2 linked regions of the Daphnia pulex genome follow. The main gene of each other region encodes a partner of the protein of the gene in region 2 in a complex. Links are inferred from orthologs where the notes say so. Each region holds a gene or a part of one and is shown on either strand. Other genes may lie near its edges.

What was found. Proteins that work in one complex are often made in the same cells at the same time.
Region 1: MMS19 nucleotide excision repair protein homolog (region 2) and cytosolic iron-sulfur assembly component 2A-like share a complex: the UniProt entries of both Homo sapiens proteins name them as parts of the CIA complex. The link is inferred for Daphnia pulex from reciprocal best matches to the Homo sapiens genes MMS19 and CIAO2A.

The regions. Positions count from the first base shown.
Region 1 is NC_060021.1:3,188,685-3,196,516, forward strand, and holds cytosolic iron-sulfur assembly component 2A-like, read right to left. Parts: upstream 4,179-7,832; 5' UTR 3,990-4,178; coding exon 3,779-3,989; intron 3,718-3,778; coding exon 3,457-3,717; intron 3,383-3,456; coding exon 3,285-3,382; 3' UTR 2,968-3,284; downstream 1-2,967. Other genes in the region: maternal protein exuperantia-like, read left to right, coding at 1,160-1,192, 1,408-1,974, 2,033-2,116, 2,181-2,540, 2,601-2,894. UniProt on the Homo sapiens protein: Component of the cytosolic iron-sulfur protein assembly (CIA) complex, a multiprotein complex that mediates the incorporation of iron-sulfur cluster into extramitochondrial Fe/S proteins.
Region 2 is NC_060026.1:4,195,214-4,204,153, reverse strand, and holds MMS19 nucleotide excision repair protein homolog, read right to left. Parts: upstream 4,448-8,940; 5' UTR 4,405-4,447; coding exon 4,317-4,404; intron 4,135-4,316; coding exon 3,890-4,134; intron 3,834-3,889; coding exon 3,689-3,833; intron 3,619-3,688; coding exon 3,431-3,618; intron 3,363-3,430; coding exon 3,201-3,362; intron 3,135-3,200; coding exon 2,921-3,134; intron 2,861-2,920; coding exon 2,748-2,860; intron 2,670-2,747; coding exon 2,549-2,669; intron 2,486-2,548; coding exon 2,180-2,485; intron 2,124-2,179; coding exon 1,841-2,123; intron 1,779-1,840; coding exon 1,537-1,778; intron 1,470-1,536; coding exon 1,321-1,469; intron 1,249-1,320; coding exon 1,136-1,248; intron 1,078-1,135; coding exon 750-1,077; intron 684-749; coding exon 603-683; intron 540-602; coding exon 429-539; 3' UTR 368-428; downstream 1-367. Other genes in the region: heat shock 70 kDa protein 12A-like, read left to right, coding at 1-95; glycerol-3-phosphate acyltransferase 3-like, read left to right, coding at 5,082-5,234, 5,296-5,643, 5,706-5,840, 5,958-6,035, 6,236-6,391, 6,456-6,571, 6,649-6,790, 6,856-7,064 and 1 more. UniProt on the Homo sapiens protein: Key component of the cytosolic iron-sulfur protein assembly (CIA) complex, a multiprotein complex that mediates the incorporation of iron-sulfur cluster into apoproteins specifically involved in DNA metabolism and genomic integrity.

The DNA.
Region 1 (7,832 bases), on a different chromosome or scaffold from region 2:
GGGGGTTGTTCTATCGATTCGTTCAATTTGGTCATGAATCACAGGGGTTCATTTAATGCGTTCATTTAGTAAAGAATTTCGGCGTAGATTTATTTCGAATTCAGAGAGGAATAAAAATGGCGATGATTGAAAAGCTACTTTAGAAAGTTGTTAAAATTGCTTTTGATAATTGAGCTGGATTGCGAGATTTAATTTTACCGCAAGATTAGCCTGTAAAGATGTACGGTGTTGTAATTCACGCCGCTAGATGGCGTCTAAGTCAATTACATAATGAAAACAAACCTGTCAATCGATTAATAAAATGTTAACATCTTATTAACTAAACTAATTAAAATCGAAATAAATAATGATCCAGTTGTTCAACCTTGATTATCATAGCTAAAATACTGCTAATGATGACGTGAAAACACTTCTAACGTGATTATGTCGTAGCAGTCGAAACTCGAAAACTTTCCACGTTGAAATCATGTTGAAATCTTGCCATTTTTAATTGCATTTAAAGTGCAATCGTACGAAAAAGGATGATTGAAAAAGTCAGTGTGAGTCAATAAAAAAATATATTATATTTACTACGACATTTTTAATAGTTTGAAAATTTGAATTCAGAGAAAGACTTGATTTGACAAATATTCAAACAAAATCCATGTAGGCTAATCAACAAAATTTACAAAAATGACGAAAAATTTAGAGAATATTTATTTCGACAATTAACCTTGATTGATTTAATCAAACGAGTTTTTCTCATTAATTGCATTGTTCTAGATCTTTTTTCTTTCTTTTTTTTCTCACCCTGCCCCAGACAGATTACGCCATCGGCTGAAAGAGCAGACGAACCTCCATTCCTCCCGTGAAAATTCCAATCATTTCATCCTGAAAGACACAGCCACAGGTAATATTTCGCCTTCGTTCAATACCTTTTATTCGTCTCATTGTTAGGCACCGTAGACATATTATACAACAGGCGCGAATGAAAGAAAAGAGGTAGGGTTGGGAATCGTTTAATTCGAGGTTCGAGAAAGACTAGAACGGTTACTTATTCACCGGCCGCGTCCGAGACAAGAGCTCGGTAAGATTCCACACAAACCTCTTTCCTCTCTCAGTACACATGTGCTTCGTCGCCATTGAGAGCTCGCCTCAGATCTAAGCAATTTATTCGGCAATGTTCAAGAACATTTTCCCCTTCTTTAATAAGGTCTAGCACATGTTTTGCCAATTGATTCTCTCTTTGCTCTCTTTGCATTTGTTTCCATCTGTTGAGTCAGTAGCCCAGTACGATTTTTTGTTCAATACCACATTGGTTAAAGAAAAGGGGGAACTGTTCTTGAAGACTGCCTTCGTATTCTCTTTGCTCACATTTTGTTTTTAACCATCTACACTGTTTTTGAATGCTTTTTGATTGATCGATAGTGTTTTGTGTTGCAGAATAAAATTACAGAAATGACCAACAACAGTGAAGAACAGCAGACCTCATCTTCCACCGAGGAGACCATCATAGAGGTGGTGATTCAGCCACCAACTCCAGAGGCCAAGGTGGAATGTGATGCTCTCCCCGCTGTGATCACCACTCAGCCAGTCCAGCCAATGCCTGAACACGATGACAGCATTGCTGTGGTTATGTGGGAAGCCACCGTTACTGGTCGACGCCTCATCGACGAGATGGTCAACCTGGGATCATTCTACATGGCGCAGGGAGAGAAAGCAGAAGGGCATGATTTCAACGAGTACGTCATGCCGTATGGCAAGCTACCGCTGAACGTAATTCGCAACTACAATCTTCGCATCGTTGACACGGGTCGTTACCGCATGCTCAAGGAGATCCGCAACAACAGAATGCTCAAGTCCAAGAGCGAGGTGGCCGCCTGCAATGATTTCGCCTCGTGGCTCATCAAGCTCCAAAAAGATAATTTCCCCGACAAGAAAATTGTCCTAGTCTTCTTTGAACCACGTCACTCCAAGATCCTTCAGCTATTCCAGGTATGTCGCCATTTAGTTTATATTATCAGACTCGTTTCTAACTTTCACTCTGTTTTAGGCTTTGGAACGTTACCGTCTTCTTGATGATGTCAACAAGATTTTGCTTGGATGTGTCAATGGCTGGGATCTGCTCCGTCAACAGGTAATAACTGAAATATCGTAACACGTGAATCGGTTAGATATTCTTATCTTGCAATCGAAAACAGGTGCATGATTTGAAGGACGAACATCGCATGGTCCTTAAAGCTTTGGCTGATCACCACCTTGGAGTCGACACACCTTTGGAGAGCGCTGTTCAACGTGCTCAAGCACTTCACAAGATTCTTCGCAAGGTGCATGGCGGCCGCATCAACACTGGGGTACTTAAGGAGAACCTCATCAGTTGCGATCATTTGCTCGAACAAGTCAAGAAAATCAAAGAAGAATTGACCAAGGAGGCTCAATGGAGACCGGTATTCGCTGACATGTTTCGCCAAGGTATCAAGCCTCGTCGGCGAGCTGGATTCCTCCGCCATATGCTCGTCGAGTCGGGCATCACCTATGTAGGCCTTACGGAAACATTCAAGGTGAGTTTGTCTTCTTTTCAATTCTTAACCGGAAGAATCTAATTGAAATTTCTTTTGCAGGACAAGAAAGATGACGGTGTGGTCGAGGTCATCAAAGAGAACATCAAAGGCAAGAATGAAGCTGACGTGGAGGAAGTCATCAAGCTGCTGAATCAACACCTTGCGCAGCCAGACAAGCCCGTCCGACGCGGTAGCGGCCGTCGAGCACCCCGCACTCGTTCCCTATGCACCGCCACGGACTTGGAGAAGCAGCAGCCTGCGTCCAAGATCGAGCCCGAGGAAAACAACAACGACCCTGTCAAAGTGATTATGGATGTTATTCCCAGCACTCCTGCGGTCCTGTCCGAAGTTTAAAAAGTCCCTCGACTCGCCTGAAATTACTTACTGCCTCCCAACCCCACTTCCCTTTTGTTTTTCACTTAACTTGTCTCGTTTTTGAGAAATTTTGATCTTTTTTTAAGTTTACAAGTCTTTCACGAAACAAACTTGCTTGTCGCTTTTGGTTATGCTTTTCTTCTTACCAGAGATAACACTTGCAAAATTTATATATATACCAGGGAGCTTTTTGGTAATTGTTTCTAGTCTTCTACTAAAATCAATCCAGGGTGTATATGTGCGATGAAATTGTCTCTGCAGTGCCTTTGCAGTGCCTTTCATACTTGTGAGTTGATCTCATGGAATGGAATACAAAATACTCTGAGGAAATTTATCGTCTTTTATTTTTTTTTCTTAACAAAATTCTTATTATTCTTCATCTCTTATGCAACTATCGACCATTTCTTTTAAGTTGGGATTCTCTAAGGCGGCGGCGACTCTTTCCTTGTCGTTGATTTGTTTATTGACTGGATGGGAATAAAGTAAAAGAATATTTTAATGAAAGCTTTTTTGAACATTTAAATATGGAATTAGGACTTACTCTCTTCTTCTGTGCTGTGTTTCCCCTCTGCAATAACTATGTCCAATTTAATCCTTTCCACCACATTTTTCTGAATCTTGCCTCTCAGGCAGAGGCCAATAAGGCTTGCAAGTGAACAATGAGGAACTGTAGGATTGAAATCTATTCTAACCAAGTAACCATTTTCCTCGAATGGTTGTACTTGAACAGATTCATCTGTAATAACCAACAGGTCTTCTAACGTGTTGGGCTTTTCAGGGTCTCTAATTGTCCTCAGCAAGTCTAAAATAAAAATCAATAAATGTTTTACCCTGTGGTGAAATATGATAAAGACGAAACAGACCAGTGATGATTTCTTTGATTTCTTGACATTGATTCTGAACATTTGGTTCCTGTCTGCACGATGATGTCCAAATTGATCTGTCCTTCCAACTTGGCAAGTTCACTGGTGAACTTACGGTTACAGCCTTCTCTAATATCACATTATTAACTGTTTCGGGAGGCGGTTTGCTCTCACTGCTACTTATCTTTTTCAGAAAAGACGTGAGGAACATTTCGACACTTTGATTAAGTACAGCAACCAATTAAATCTTTATAGGACATGCAAGTTTACGCTATGCAAATGGTGGTTTGAATTATCTTTCTACAATTCCAATTAAGTACAAGAGTGAAAAAGACAAACCAAAATAGTGAAAGAAGCAGATGAACGAGTTAACTACTGCACTTTTTTTTAATCAGACGTCACTTTGTTTACATGAAAAGAGCCATCTAGTGAACTGAAGTACAACAATATAGGTAAACCTTTTGGCGGGATTTTGACTGGTGCGAGTGCAGATCATTCAAGATTTCCGGATTTTTTAACTGGACTCTTTGAGTTCGCATTTGTTACTTGAAATGAAACAAAGTAGAAATCTGTACTTTTCATGTGTGCACTAAACGAATTTATATTTTACAAAAATATAATAATCATCTGGTACACAAAAAGATTGGCATGAACTGAATAATAAAGAAATTGCGAAAATTCAGAAGTCAGCGCTTAAGCGCGCTGTGCCGAAGGATGAATGAATGCACTCTAGGCGGAAGTTGATTTCCAAGTGGAATTTTGTGTTGACGAAGGGACTGAGCGCAGTAACAAGACAGGGGCAAGACGGTATTGATCAGAGAGTTCAGATAAGAATTAAAATAATAGTCATGAAGGGAATGTTTCTTTCGCTGAATTTCCAAAAAATCGATCACTGTATGGCCTTCTGGTGTGGCTTGGTCGAGATGACCACCTGCTTCCACTAGTGATTGAAAAACATTTGACAGAGACTCGGAAGGAAAGTCGGCCGAGTCCAAGTAAGTCGAGAATCGAGTCCAGTTCCATTTCTCGGCTAAAATATGAAGCGGAGTTTTCCCTTTTCTATCCGTGGCATTCGGATCGACCCCCATTTTCAAGAACAGTTTAATCAAACGTTGGGTATTGCTTTCGTATAACCACACGGACCGATTAATTCCAGCATGTAAAAGACTGTGCGATCCACGGTGAACGTCTAGGGGAATAAATTGAGAAAGGCATTCCTCAAGTTGCTTGTGTTTTTCCTGGTTTAACCGGGGGAAACTCTTGAACAGCAGCGAAACAAAATCGTAGGCGCATATGTTCACTCTGTGAAGTCTATTGTGATCCTTATCATTCATTAGTGGAACTGGTAGTAGATTGGCTATGACGGTGCAGCATCCAATAGCTTTCAGAAGATTACCGGGAGTCAATTCCCGTCGTTCTGGGCTCTCCGCGGTCTCTTCTCGCATCCGTTCGAAACACTTTGACATCAGATCGAGTGTTTCGACGAAAATGTGAATACATTTGGGTGAAGATGCCGTCGAGCTGAACGATTTCGCCTGGTCGATAATGAGCAAGCAAATGTTGAACGCACGACTGGGTTCTTTTCGGTACGAGTTGCAGTCCCAGCCATACCGAATCAAATTAATTAGATGGAAGTAATAGGGCCCATTATTCACTTGGCTGACGACTCTTTGGTTCACTAAAAGAGCCTGAACTCGAAGATAACATTGCCAATGAGAACTGGCGAGTCCCCAAGCTGGCGGACAGCCGTAAATGGACGATTCTTGCTCCATTAGTTCCAGTTCTTCTAAGGTTAGCACTTCGGAATTATCGGCAAATGCCTTAGCAGCCTCATCGGTGAAAACGTTAGGTGTTTTGGGGATGGCCCGTTCGCCTGTGGAGTAACGCAGTGCCATGGCATCCTTCCAGCACTGCAGTCCGTGATGGGGTGCCCACATTACCTTGGATTGACTTTTCACTTGGATAAAGATAAAGGTGGCACCGATTAATTCCAAGGCATCGATTTTGTCTTGTCGAGGGATCGAGCTGGACTTGATACAATTCCAAAGAAATTCCAACCAAAGGGGTTCGTCCCTACGTGGTTCCAGCAGCCAAGGATCAATCAAACACTCCATTACGTCGACGATGGAAATTTGGTCGGTTTGAATTTGACAAAAGGTAGAAAGGCACAGAGATCTACACTCTTTGTCACTGACACATTCTCTCAATATTCTAACCAAAAAGTCAATCACGTTATAACGTTTTGTCTTGATGGCCGAAATTAAAAGAGTTTCACCTTGTTCGCTACTGGGTGTCGGTGTCCATATCTTTGTCATTACTTCCAACTTGCTGCAATTTTTGAATATTTCGCTTAGTTGAGTCGTGGAGTCGTTTTCGATCGCTTGCACAAAGAGATCTTGAACACTTTGCAAATAAGCCATGCTCAATACTATTTTGGAGACAAATTTAACAGCACTGAATTGTTGGAATTTTGGAGCGAATTCAAAAGAGAACGTGAGGACAACGACGATAGCTCACAACTATAGATGGACTGGATGGAGATTCTCTATAGCTTCTCTCGAATGCAATGAAGTTTCTAGAAATGAGTCGCATATATTTATAGGGTAAAATCCGGTAAAATCTTATCTGAAAAGATAAGAAAAATTCAAGGACCTCCGCCATAAGTAGGACCTATAGTCCATCTGATTCTGTCCAAGGTGAGTTTTTTAAAAGTTGACCCTGATTTTATACACAGCTGACGCTGACCTACATTAAGCGCATGACTATATATTTTTTTTCGAATAATTCCCATGTGATATTGGGCCTAAGGATTATAGAGTTCTTTGACTTTCACATTTTTTTTTGTAAAAGGGCGCAGGTTGCGGAGGGTAACCTCATGATCTATATTTCAAAAAATTAATACCAATAATGGCATATTTAATTTGAAATTTTGTTAGAGAAAATTTTACCTGCGTATACATGCAATACTTGACCTTGACGTAGCCTTGGTCGAAAAACACAAGGTATCGTTCTTGATTTAAAAACTTCCGTTAAAAACTTGGCTTCTTCACGGGCTTCTTCAGCGACTATACCAGCGTAATACGATAAAGGTTCCAGAAATTCATTATCGTCTCCGACATACTGGGCGATCCCACGAGCTCCCACAACGAACTGCACAGGACTTGGCTCAGCGCCAAGTATTTCAAAGGGAATTTACGCGGTTGTTTATCAGCAGTATTTTCGAAACAGGTTTAGTAATTTCTTAGTTATCTTATTTGATCTGGCGATAATAAATTAAACATTTGAGACAAGCATGCAATTTGTCTAGCAATTATTATAAAATGTTAGTTTTAAAAGTGTGGCTTTTTTTAAAACTTGAAAACTTCAAATCATGTGACACAATTTTAAAAAATGTCACAAATTCAAATCGAAGGAAATAAGCGTCTGCTAAGTAATAAACAGATAACCATAAATATTGCCATCTAGTGTTAACAAAATTAATTTTCAAATTTTTTTTTAATAGGAAAATTTATCGTCCCCAACCTGTCCCCGGCTTAGACGAAAACAAAATGACCCTTGTTATCCCACTCTCACTTGTTTGTTCTCTATGATCTTTACCATTTTAGTTATGTTTTAAATTTAGAAACAACCCGTTTCTCTCTAATCTGGGCTTAAAAATTTGATCTTGCTATGTAGGTGGTATTCATTTGGATTTTCCCTCACATAATATATTGGTCAGCCGTCAGTTATCATTCATTCAATTTTTTTAAAATTTATGTACACTTGACAGTATAATATGTCACTATAAAGAAGTTGAGTGCCTTAGAACTTTACCGGTGAGGCAGTTGAGTTAAAAAAAAAGAATTAAAAAAGGGGAATTTTTTTTAGAGGTGCATTTAATCTTCATCATAAATATCTAAATTAACGTCTTCATTCGACAGTGACACAATATCGACATCTTCTTACAACTCGAATTTCCTGAGAAGAGGTGATGTAAGAGCTAGATTAGATTAGCTCCCACACTAGAACAAGACGACAAAAGCTAGACATTTATCAAATATACAGAACGGTTAGA
Region 2 (8,940 bases):
TCGGCGACACGGAGATACGCGCCTCAGCCGTCGACGTTTTTAGTGGCAACACCATCAAGGCTTCCTTCGACTTTCTCGACGACAAGCCGCAATAGACACGGAGCACTACTGACAGCCACTGCAAACAAGACCTCACAACAACAAACTGTAGCAGTATTCTAATCCTGTTTGATCCTTTCCTAGCCAAAATGTTATAACTTTCCACGGCACTTTTTGACATCTACAACAGCTTCTTTTGCTCGGAATTTTTTTTAAGAGCACGATCCTCAAACATAATTGGAGTTTCTCTTTGATTCGACACTTTTTACAAACCATCATCACGCGGAATTGTTAAGAAGAGAATACATATTATTCTAATGCTTGACAATTCTGTTAGAAAAACAGTGTAATTGAAGCTCTTGAATGAATTATGGCACACTAATGAGATGTTAGTTACAGCCGGGCTGGCCCAACATAATCCACTTTTGTCTTGCCAATGCTGCCTCACGCCGGACCAATCGCTTTTTGTCGGACAGACAAGGGACGAGACGGAGGATGACCTATTAAAATTTATTATACAATACGAAGTTGAAGTTCAAAATTATGGAAAAGCCAAAATTTACCTCTGACCGAAGTGGGAGTAAAACAATCGATTGGGCCTTCCTGAGCTCAGAGAGACATTGAAGGGCAAGTCGACGGACGTCCTGGAGATTATGATAAAAATGTAAGTATAAAATTTACAAGCGTGAAGGAACAAAGGTAGATCTTACCATGTTAATGCCGTCTTTGGCAAGGGTGAGTAATCTGGGCACGAGACTGCTGATGTACTCTTCGATGGCACTGACATTGTCGGACATGAGACCCATGAACGCGTTGATGGTAGAAATAATTAGCTGAGCTGGTTGGTCTGTGCTCAGACACTGGATCAGCAGTGGGATGAGTGTGGTTATGTGGGCAATTAAAACACCCTCCGGAATGAAGGCTAGTTGATTGGCGATGGCGGCGAAGCAAGCTGCTTTGTTGCACGACTCGGACTCTCGATACAGTTTCAACAAGCGAGGTACAACTTCTTGAAAAAACCTCTGTCGGTACATTAACCTAAGAATTTAATCAATAAGGAAATGTTCGTACAACTAAATGGAAAACGTTAAAAAACCTGATGTTGGCATGACAATTGAAATTCAGGCATTCCTCGGTTTCACACAAAATCGTTTTAAATCCTTCTGCCACTAGGTACCCGTGCGTGGGATCGTTCAACGAATCAACTAACTGCAAAGAAAAAGGTAATTCGTTAATACAGGTCATGGCGCATGCTGTTACGTCTGTAATCCAATCGCATACTTCTTGGATATACTGATTAAGCTTGGAATAAGATCTCATCAGCAGAGCTTTAGTTATCCAAACAAACAGGCAAACAGAATTGCATCGGTCTGTAGATGGATCCTGCCATTTGCGCCGCAACGAATCGAGTATAGCTTCCAGTTCATGCCCTTAAACATAGCAGGTAATGGTTAACGTTGATGGTTTTGACTTTATAATAGATCCTATAAATTTTACCTTCAGGAAGTTTGTTGACCAGAGCGGCTATTAGCCGACAGGCAGACAGTCTGACGTCGGCTTTTGGATGACAAACAGTAATGGGTTCTAGTGTGTTAACTAGTCGTTCAAGACTGTGTCCGCTAGGTGTGGCATCCAATGATCCCAATGTCGCTTCCATTATGGACAACGTCCACGGAGAACGAGCAAGATGTTGACCTACGTATTGTTCGGTTTGTTCGTTGATGAATTCCGTGGCTTTCCTGTACAATGCCGAGAAGATTACAAAAACATTTCTTCCAACATTTTGATCTAATAGAATTACGCGGAAGATAAACTGGAAGCCAGATTTCTCAATAAAACACAAGTGGCTTGGAGTGACGCCGGAGGATCTCCATCTTCCAATGTTTTCAATCCCCAGCGGTGCAATTGCTGGAATATTTCTAGTTCGTCCCTTTGTGCGAAATGAGTCAAAACTTTGAGTACTTCAAGTCGTAATTCCAGTTCGGGTTGTTCGAGCACGGTCATTAGTCGGGATACCACCTGCGCACGAATCTGGGACAACGTCGGTAGAGTTGATAACACAAGAAAAACCGCATTGGCTTTGCCTAAACAACCAACAGATAACCTCTTTCCGTATTTTAATTGGTAAAATTCAAATTACCTGAGACGGCTATATCTAACAGCTTAACCAAGACTTGCTCAAGGAACAAGTTTTCATTCTTCTCTGCGCTTTTGCAAAAGAAATGACCAATCTCTGCAATAACGCTATCGGTGGCTGTTGATTTCTGGAGTAAATCTAAAAGTGTTCCATTGACCTTTTCCAAGTCTTGGTGGTTCAAACAGGTGCCAATTAAATGGCTCAATCCTTGCAGACTTAGATTGCGAAGAACTGCGTCATCCTCTTGTAAGACCTCAAGGTACAGCTCTAACAATTTTGGTATCAGAGAAGCTACACCACTTTGAGCAACTGTAAAATATAACCAAAGATATGAAAATGTTTCTAATTTTAATAATTTTTAAAATGTGGTACCGTTTGCTTCAGTGAAACCATAGAGACCAGCATGTACCATTTTGTTCAAACTATTAAGGATGAACTGACGTGGATTTGACTGTGGCCTGATCCTGTACTGGTCCATCAAAAGGGGAATGACCTATTTAGAGAAATGGGTTTCTGTTAAGTAGATTTTAAAAAAAATGTTTGTAGTTCTATAAGAGAATAAGAATAATACCTGGCTAACAATTAATGCACACGCGGGCGCACTTCCCGAGCATATCGCTAGCAAAATGTAGCTGCTCGGAGTCATTAATCGCCGTTCCGGTTCACACAAGTGCCCCTGACATTCTATTAATATACAATCTACAGTTAAATATACTCTTAAACGAATATTTGCTACACATTTACCGGTCAGCACATTTTTTAGTAATTTGGTAAAAGCTGGACTGTTAAATTCTCCGTCTGTTGTAAAAGCTCGGGATAAAGCGGCAAGAGCATCAAGTGAGGCATGTTCAAGATCGTCGGTATTGACATTGATCAAGACTTCTCTACGTATACTCGTCCAGAAAGAGTCCACCCATTTTTCAAGTTGGCCTGGTTGATACGTCTGACAGCAGAGTTCCTGCAAACAGTCGAAAATTACAATAGAATTGAAGCATAAAGACTAAATATAGAAGGGGAAAATTACCAAGGTTTTTAAGGCTTCTACTTTAGCTGAAACCAAGTCAGATTCCAATTTCTCTTGCAGTAACGGCAAACAATACTCTGCGAAATGAGGGCTACCGGCAAGGCACTGTCGTAATCCATCACAGAGCTGTTCTTTAGTTACTGCATAAGGATCATTAGCTGGCTATTCAAAATAAGAGTATTAGGATTTACTGACATGTAGCAATAAACTGAAAATTTCAAGAGACTTACAGGGGTGAAATCGATAGGGAAGTAGCAACTAAAAACTTCGAAAAACTCTTCTGTAAACGGCTCGAATCTGAAGTAACGAGCAACTACAGGGAAAACACTGAAGAGAATCAACAAGTTACGTGGGTCTCTTTCTTGATCAGCTAACTGGATGAGACCAAAAACAAAATCTTGGCCTAGGTCTTGTAATTCTGTAAGTTTAAAAATAAAATTTAGAAAATACTAACACAGCATATATATTTAGAAATTTATAATTTAGACCTTTTAGATGAAAAGCCAAGAGGTTTTTCACTGTTTTGTAAATTGCTCTTCTGTCATGCTGCAATTGTGATTGACAATGAACATCTTGAAAAATGCTCTGGGATATCAATCTGGCCAATCCAGGGGAAAGCTTAGGTGCTGTGCTCTATGACAAGGTATTAAATTTAACACTTTTGTATTGAATAGTATTTTTTTTCATACCAAAGCATGGAGGCCTTGCAGTGCGGCAGGTAGTATTGAATGATGATCTTTTAGCTTGCTACAGAAGAACTCTGTTACAAGTTCTACTTCCTTTTCATTTAGTCCCTTCAATTCAGGCCCCAACTGTTCCAAGATTGTGCCAATAGTTGACACTGCTTTGCATCGGTGAGTATTTTGTTGATTCAGTAAATCTGGTTGCAAATCTTCAACTAGCTTGAGAATTGTTAATTCTTTTGATGCAATTGCTGAAAAATTAAACAAAGTCATTGATGTTAACTTGTTAAAATTATTAAACATTTTCTACACATATGTTTTAAATCTGGCGCGCTCATGATGGACACGTGTTTTTCCTTCTTTTTTTCTAATTTCGAACACTTGAGCGGAGTACGAAAAAATGTTTCTTTCAGTTATAATTATAAAAACTTACATTGACTAATACAGCGAATAGATTCATTCGCGGATTCTTCTGAATTAAACGAATCTCTGAGTTTGTGAATCGCAGTCGAGATCGCCATGTTTACTGTTTACCTCTGCCCTGATTATGTAAACGTCATCTGCTTTTAAATGACACATGGTTGCCTACCTCTCACATTCTTCTTTTCATGAACTGATTATTCATCGAATATATAATTTTGTCACAGATTATGTAATTGTAAACAAGCAACAGACTTTTGTAACAAATTTCGTAATTAAATATTGAATAACCGCATTCCAACATGTTTTGAAATAGCTTCCGTGAACGGAGGAAAATATCACCCAGGTTTTGTATTTTCTAGATTTTTCATTACGCATTGGAAAAAAAACAGATGGGTGGAGACTTCCAAAGTAAACTTTTATGTGATTCCGATAAATCGTGCTGGTAAGCATGGGAGGACTAGAAAAAGATAATTAATCGCGTCAAGGTCGCACGCGCAACGCATAGAACCAATAGACAGACGTATTTTTGAAGTCAGTTGTAGCCTGAACGTCCCATTATAAACGAGAGTCCCAAAACGTCTGTCGTAGCAGTCTTTTAGTAGACTACGTTACGCGAATTCCACTCACGCACAACAACTCAAATCGGCATTTCTCTTGTCAACCTTGAAATCTCTCTCTTCCACCACTTCCTTTAACGTGGTCCCGACATCTGTTGCCTTGGTGTTCGACAACGACAGCAACTTCTTGAACTGGAGCTCCCACCAACAATATTACAATGGGGCTCGAAAATTTAATTCTTTTGCTAGTACTTAGTATAATTTTTATGCCTGTTATCCTGGTAATTGGTTGCTTGGTGCTAGTGATGACATGCAACTGGTCAAGGAATTTCCGATCAGGATATGTTAAACTACTATTGAAGGTCTTTCAGGTAATATGTCTTATTCTTAGTATTTGAGTTTTCGTAATGCTCATAATCTTTTTTATACTAGTATGGAACTGGTAGGATAGAAATTGCTGAGCAGCAAAAGAAACTAGAGACCAATAAAGGAAAGAATGGCTATGCAAATGGAAATGTTGTGGAAGCAGTGGAACAAGCTGAGGACAAATTATCAACTGGACATGCCATTATAAAATCTTCAGCAATGTCCAAGGAAGATCTAGTACTTTTACCTAATGGAAACTCATCTCCAAAGACACCCTCCATCCCCAAAAACAGATCATTTAACAGTTTGAATAATGATTTTATTCTATCTGACTGCCTTGACTTTGTTCATGCGGGGGTGGAAGCAATCATTGAGGACGAAGTTACAGGAAGATTTGTAGCTGAAGAACTAAAGGTACTCAAATCTCACCTACCAATTTGGTTCACAGTATCTAACATTAAATTTGTACTTCCCAGTCTTGGAATCTTCTTACTCGCACAAACCGCCACTATGAGTTCATCAGTGTTCGCCTTACTATTACTTGGATTTTGGGTTTCTTTGTACGCTACTTCATTCTTCTACCAAGCAGAGTTACAATTTGCTTTTTAGCTGTAAGTATACTTCAAAATGTGTTCTTTGTCAATTATTTTGTTAGTATTATTTTAACTATATTATTGCAATTGTAATGAAATTATTCATTTGTCTTTGATTGATGTGATTTTCTATAGGTTATTTGGTTAACTTTGTGCACAGGACTGGTTGGCTTCCTAAATGAAGGTCCCATGAAAAGAGCCATTTATGAGAAGGTATAAACTCCAAATTCTCTTTTTACCCCGTTCAGTTATCGAATTTGACCTCGTGTAGATAACTGTAGAACTCCCGATGGTTCGAATAGGACAAAGTTCGAATCAACATTTGCTCCGTTTATTCATATCTTTTCTTTAAGAGTTTGCATTACAATACTTTCTTGTTTTAATATCTTATTGGTTTTGTTTTGGTTTTGAAGGTTTCAACATGGTGCTTCAATTTTCTATCATGCGCGTTATCAGCCGTCGTCACTTTTCACAATAGAGAGAATATACCTAAGTGTGGTATTTGTGTGGCGAACCACACGACTCCGGTGGACGTAATGGTTCTCCACTGCGACAATGCGTATGCGCTGGTATGTTGGATTTAAAATTTTTAAAAATCTATATATTTATTTACTTTTCATTATTTTTTTAAAGATTGGCCAGCGTCACGGTGGATTTTTGGGCATTATTCAGCGAGCTTTGGCTCGCGCTTCTGCTCACATTTGGTTTGAACGCTCCGAAGTCAAAGATCGTGAAACTGTTGCTAAAAGGTAATATCGATTGCCGCATACCGGATTTATAGATCGAGTTCCTATTCGAAAATCCTGACTTTTGATTATATTTTCAGACTAAAAGAGCACGTTGACGATCCTGATAAGTTGCCTATTCTTATTTTTCCCGAGGGAACCTGCATCAACAACACTTCTGTGATGCAGTTCAAAAAGGGCAGTTTTGAAGTTGGCAGTATTGTTTATCCTGTCGCAATTAAAGTAATTTGCTTCGTTACGAGATTGCCATTGAGATTGCCATTATAATAATTTTATTTGTGATTTAGTACGACGCAAGGTTTACCGACGCATTTTGGAATTCTAGTCGCCACTCGATGATTCAATATCTCTACATGATGATGTCCTCTTGGGCTTTGGTCTGCGACGTTTGGTACCTACCACCCATGCACCGTCGACCAGAAGAAAGTGCAATTGATTTCGCCAATCGAGTCAAAGCAGTGATTGCAAAACAGGGCGGCCTAGTAGATCTAGCTTGGTAAGTTGGTCTTCGTAGACTTCACCTCGAAAAAATCGCCGATTTTAACGCTTTTTGAATTCCAATTTGATAGGGATGGAGCACTAAAACGTATGAACGCCAAGAAAGAATGGAAACAGAAACAACAGGAAGAATTCAGCAAACGATTGAAAGTTGAGTGATTCTCGTCTGTCGGCCTGGTGAACGTTGAGAGGAAAGAAATTTGTTTTACGTTTTGTTTATTTTTTTTTAATAACAATTTTGTGTTGCGATGGAAATTTGATGCATCAAGTACCGAATGTTAGTGGTGTAGCGCCATTGGTTTTTTTTTTAGGTCGTAGCCGGGCCACTCTTCCAAAAAAAAAGTGATGCGTTAAAATGGAGATAACGCATTCGTTGTATTTGTGTTTGTCCATCTTTCTCTCATTGTTTTTTTTTTCTCTCTTTCAACGTTCTCGCAAAAGAAAATAAGCAAATAATTTCTGGTTGATAACGACCGAGCATACATATAGGCCTATCGATATTTCTCAGACGAGATTTGCTCTGCTCATTTCTGAATCGAATCATTGTTGTGAATGCGTGTTTCCTAGAAGTAATGGTCCCTATATCTTTAAAAATTCCCTCTTGGTTGATGAATGGTGGCCCAGGTGATCTAAGTCATTGATGTGGTTAAAAGCTTGTGGGGAGGGTTGACATCATTTTTCCATATGTGTTTTCTGTTCGATTTACTTGATGTTCTGTTGTTCTTTGGTTTTTTCGTCGACTTCGATGTTCTCCTGATGAACACTGGGTATATATACACACATATATATGCGACATATGCTTTTTTTTTCTAAGCTAAGAATCGTAAACTAACTGTTTGTGTTTAACTTTCTCGATACATCGGATTTTCGGATTTCACATGTTGTTTCATTTGGTAATGAAAGAATGAACGCTAATTATAGTTTCAAACATTGAAAGAATTAAAGTTAAAAGGACTGAAGGCGGAATATAATTTCGCCATTCAGAGGAGTTAAAATAATCTTTGTTTCCTTATTTCTTTTGGGTGCGGTACGCAAGTCCCAGTCGTCATTGGTAACTTGCGACATAAGCACCAAAAATTTAAAAAAACGTCAAAAGACCCAAACGTAAAGTTCCCCGTGTTATTTATGACCCACACGTCATATGTCCCAAATGTTACAAATTCCATTGTTTTTATTTTTTGCCATTTGTCCCAAAAGATTTATGTCCTGGCGTAATAAAATCCAAAGGACACAAGGCCCAGTGTTTAAAAGAACCAATGCAATTATGTCCCATAATATTAAATGACATTAATGTCCATTCGTCATTTGTCCCAAGCTATTTATTCCATTTGTCATTAGTCCCAAGCTATTTATTCTGAAATTTTGCATCCCTGCAGCTCAGCGGCAGAATTTAAATTTGTTTTCGTGTCAAATAGCTAGTACTTGTGCGTGAATATCAATCGGTTTTACCTCATTTATTTCTGTCTTCCTTTATTTTTGTTAATATGCTGGCACTCCGTTCCGGTTTGCGAGGTTCCCGTAGGAAATATCAATTAAAACATTAAAAAAGCAAAAGTAAAAATGCAATTGAATCTGATTCGGTATAGTGAATCAGGAGTGCGCTTAGTTTATCGCTTAAATTACCGTGATACTTTTACTTTATTAGTTATAGATATCAATCAAACATATCGTAACATTCAATAAATATCTGTGAATCATAAGGTGTGCGACTTAGTCGCCACCCCGCGTCGCACTTTTTTAAAGCTTCTTAAGCTACAGCTAAATTTATTATTAGCAATATGGAATTAGAAGATATTTAACTTTAACATACTGTATATCACTGTTTTTGTTTTGTTTATATCGAAGATTTCAAAAAGCCACCAGCCTTAAGTTGC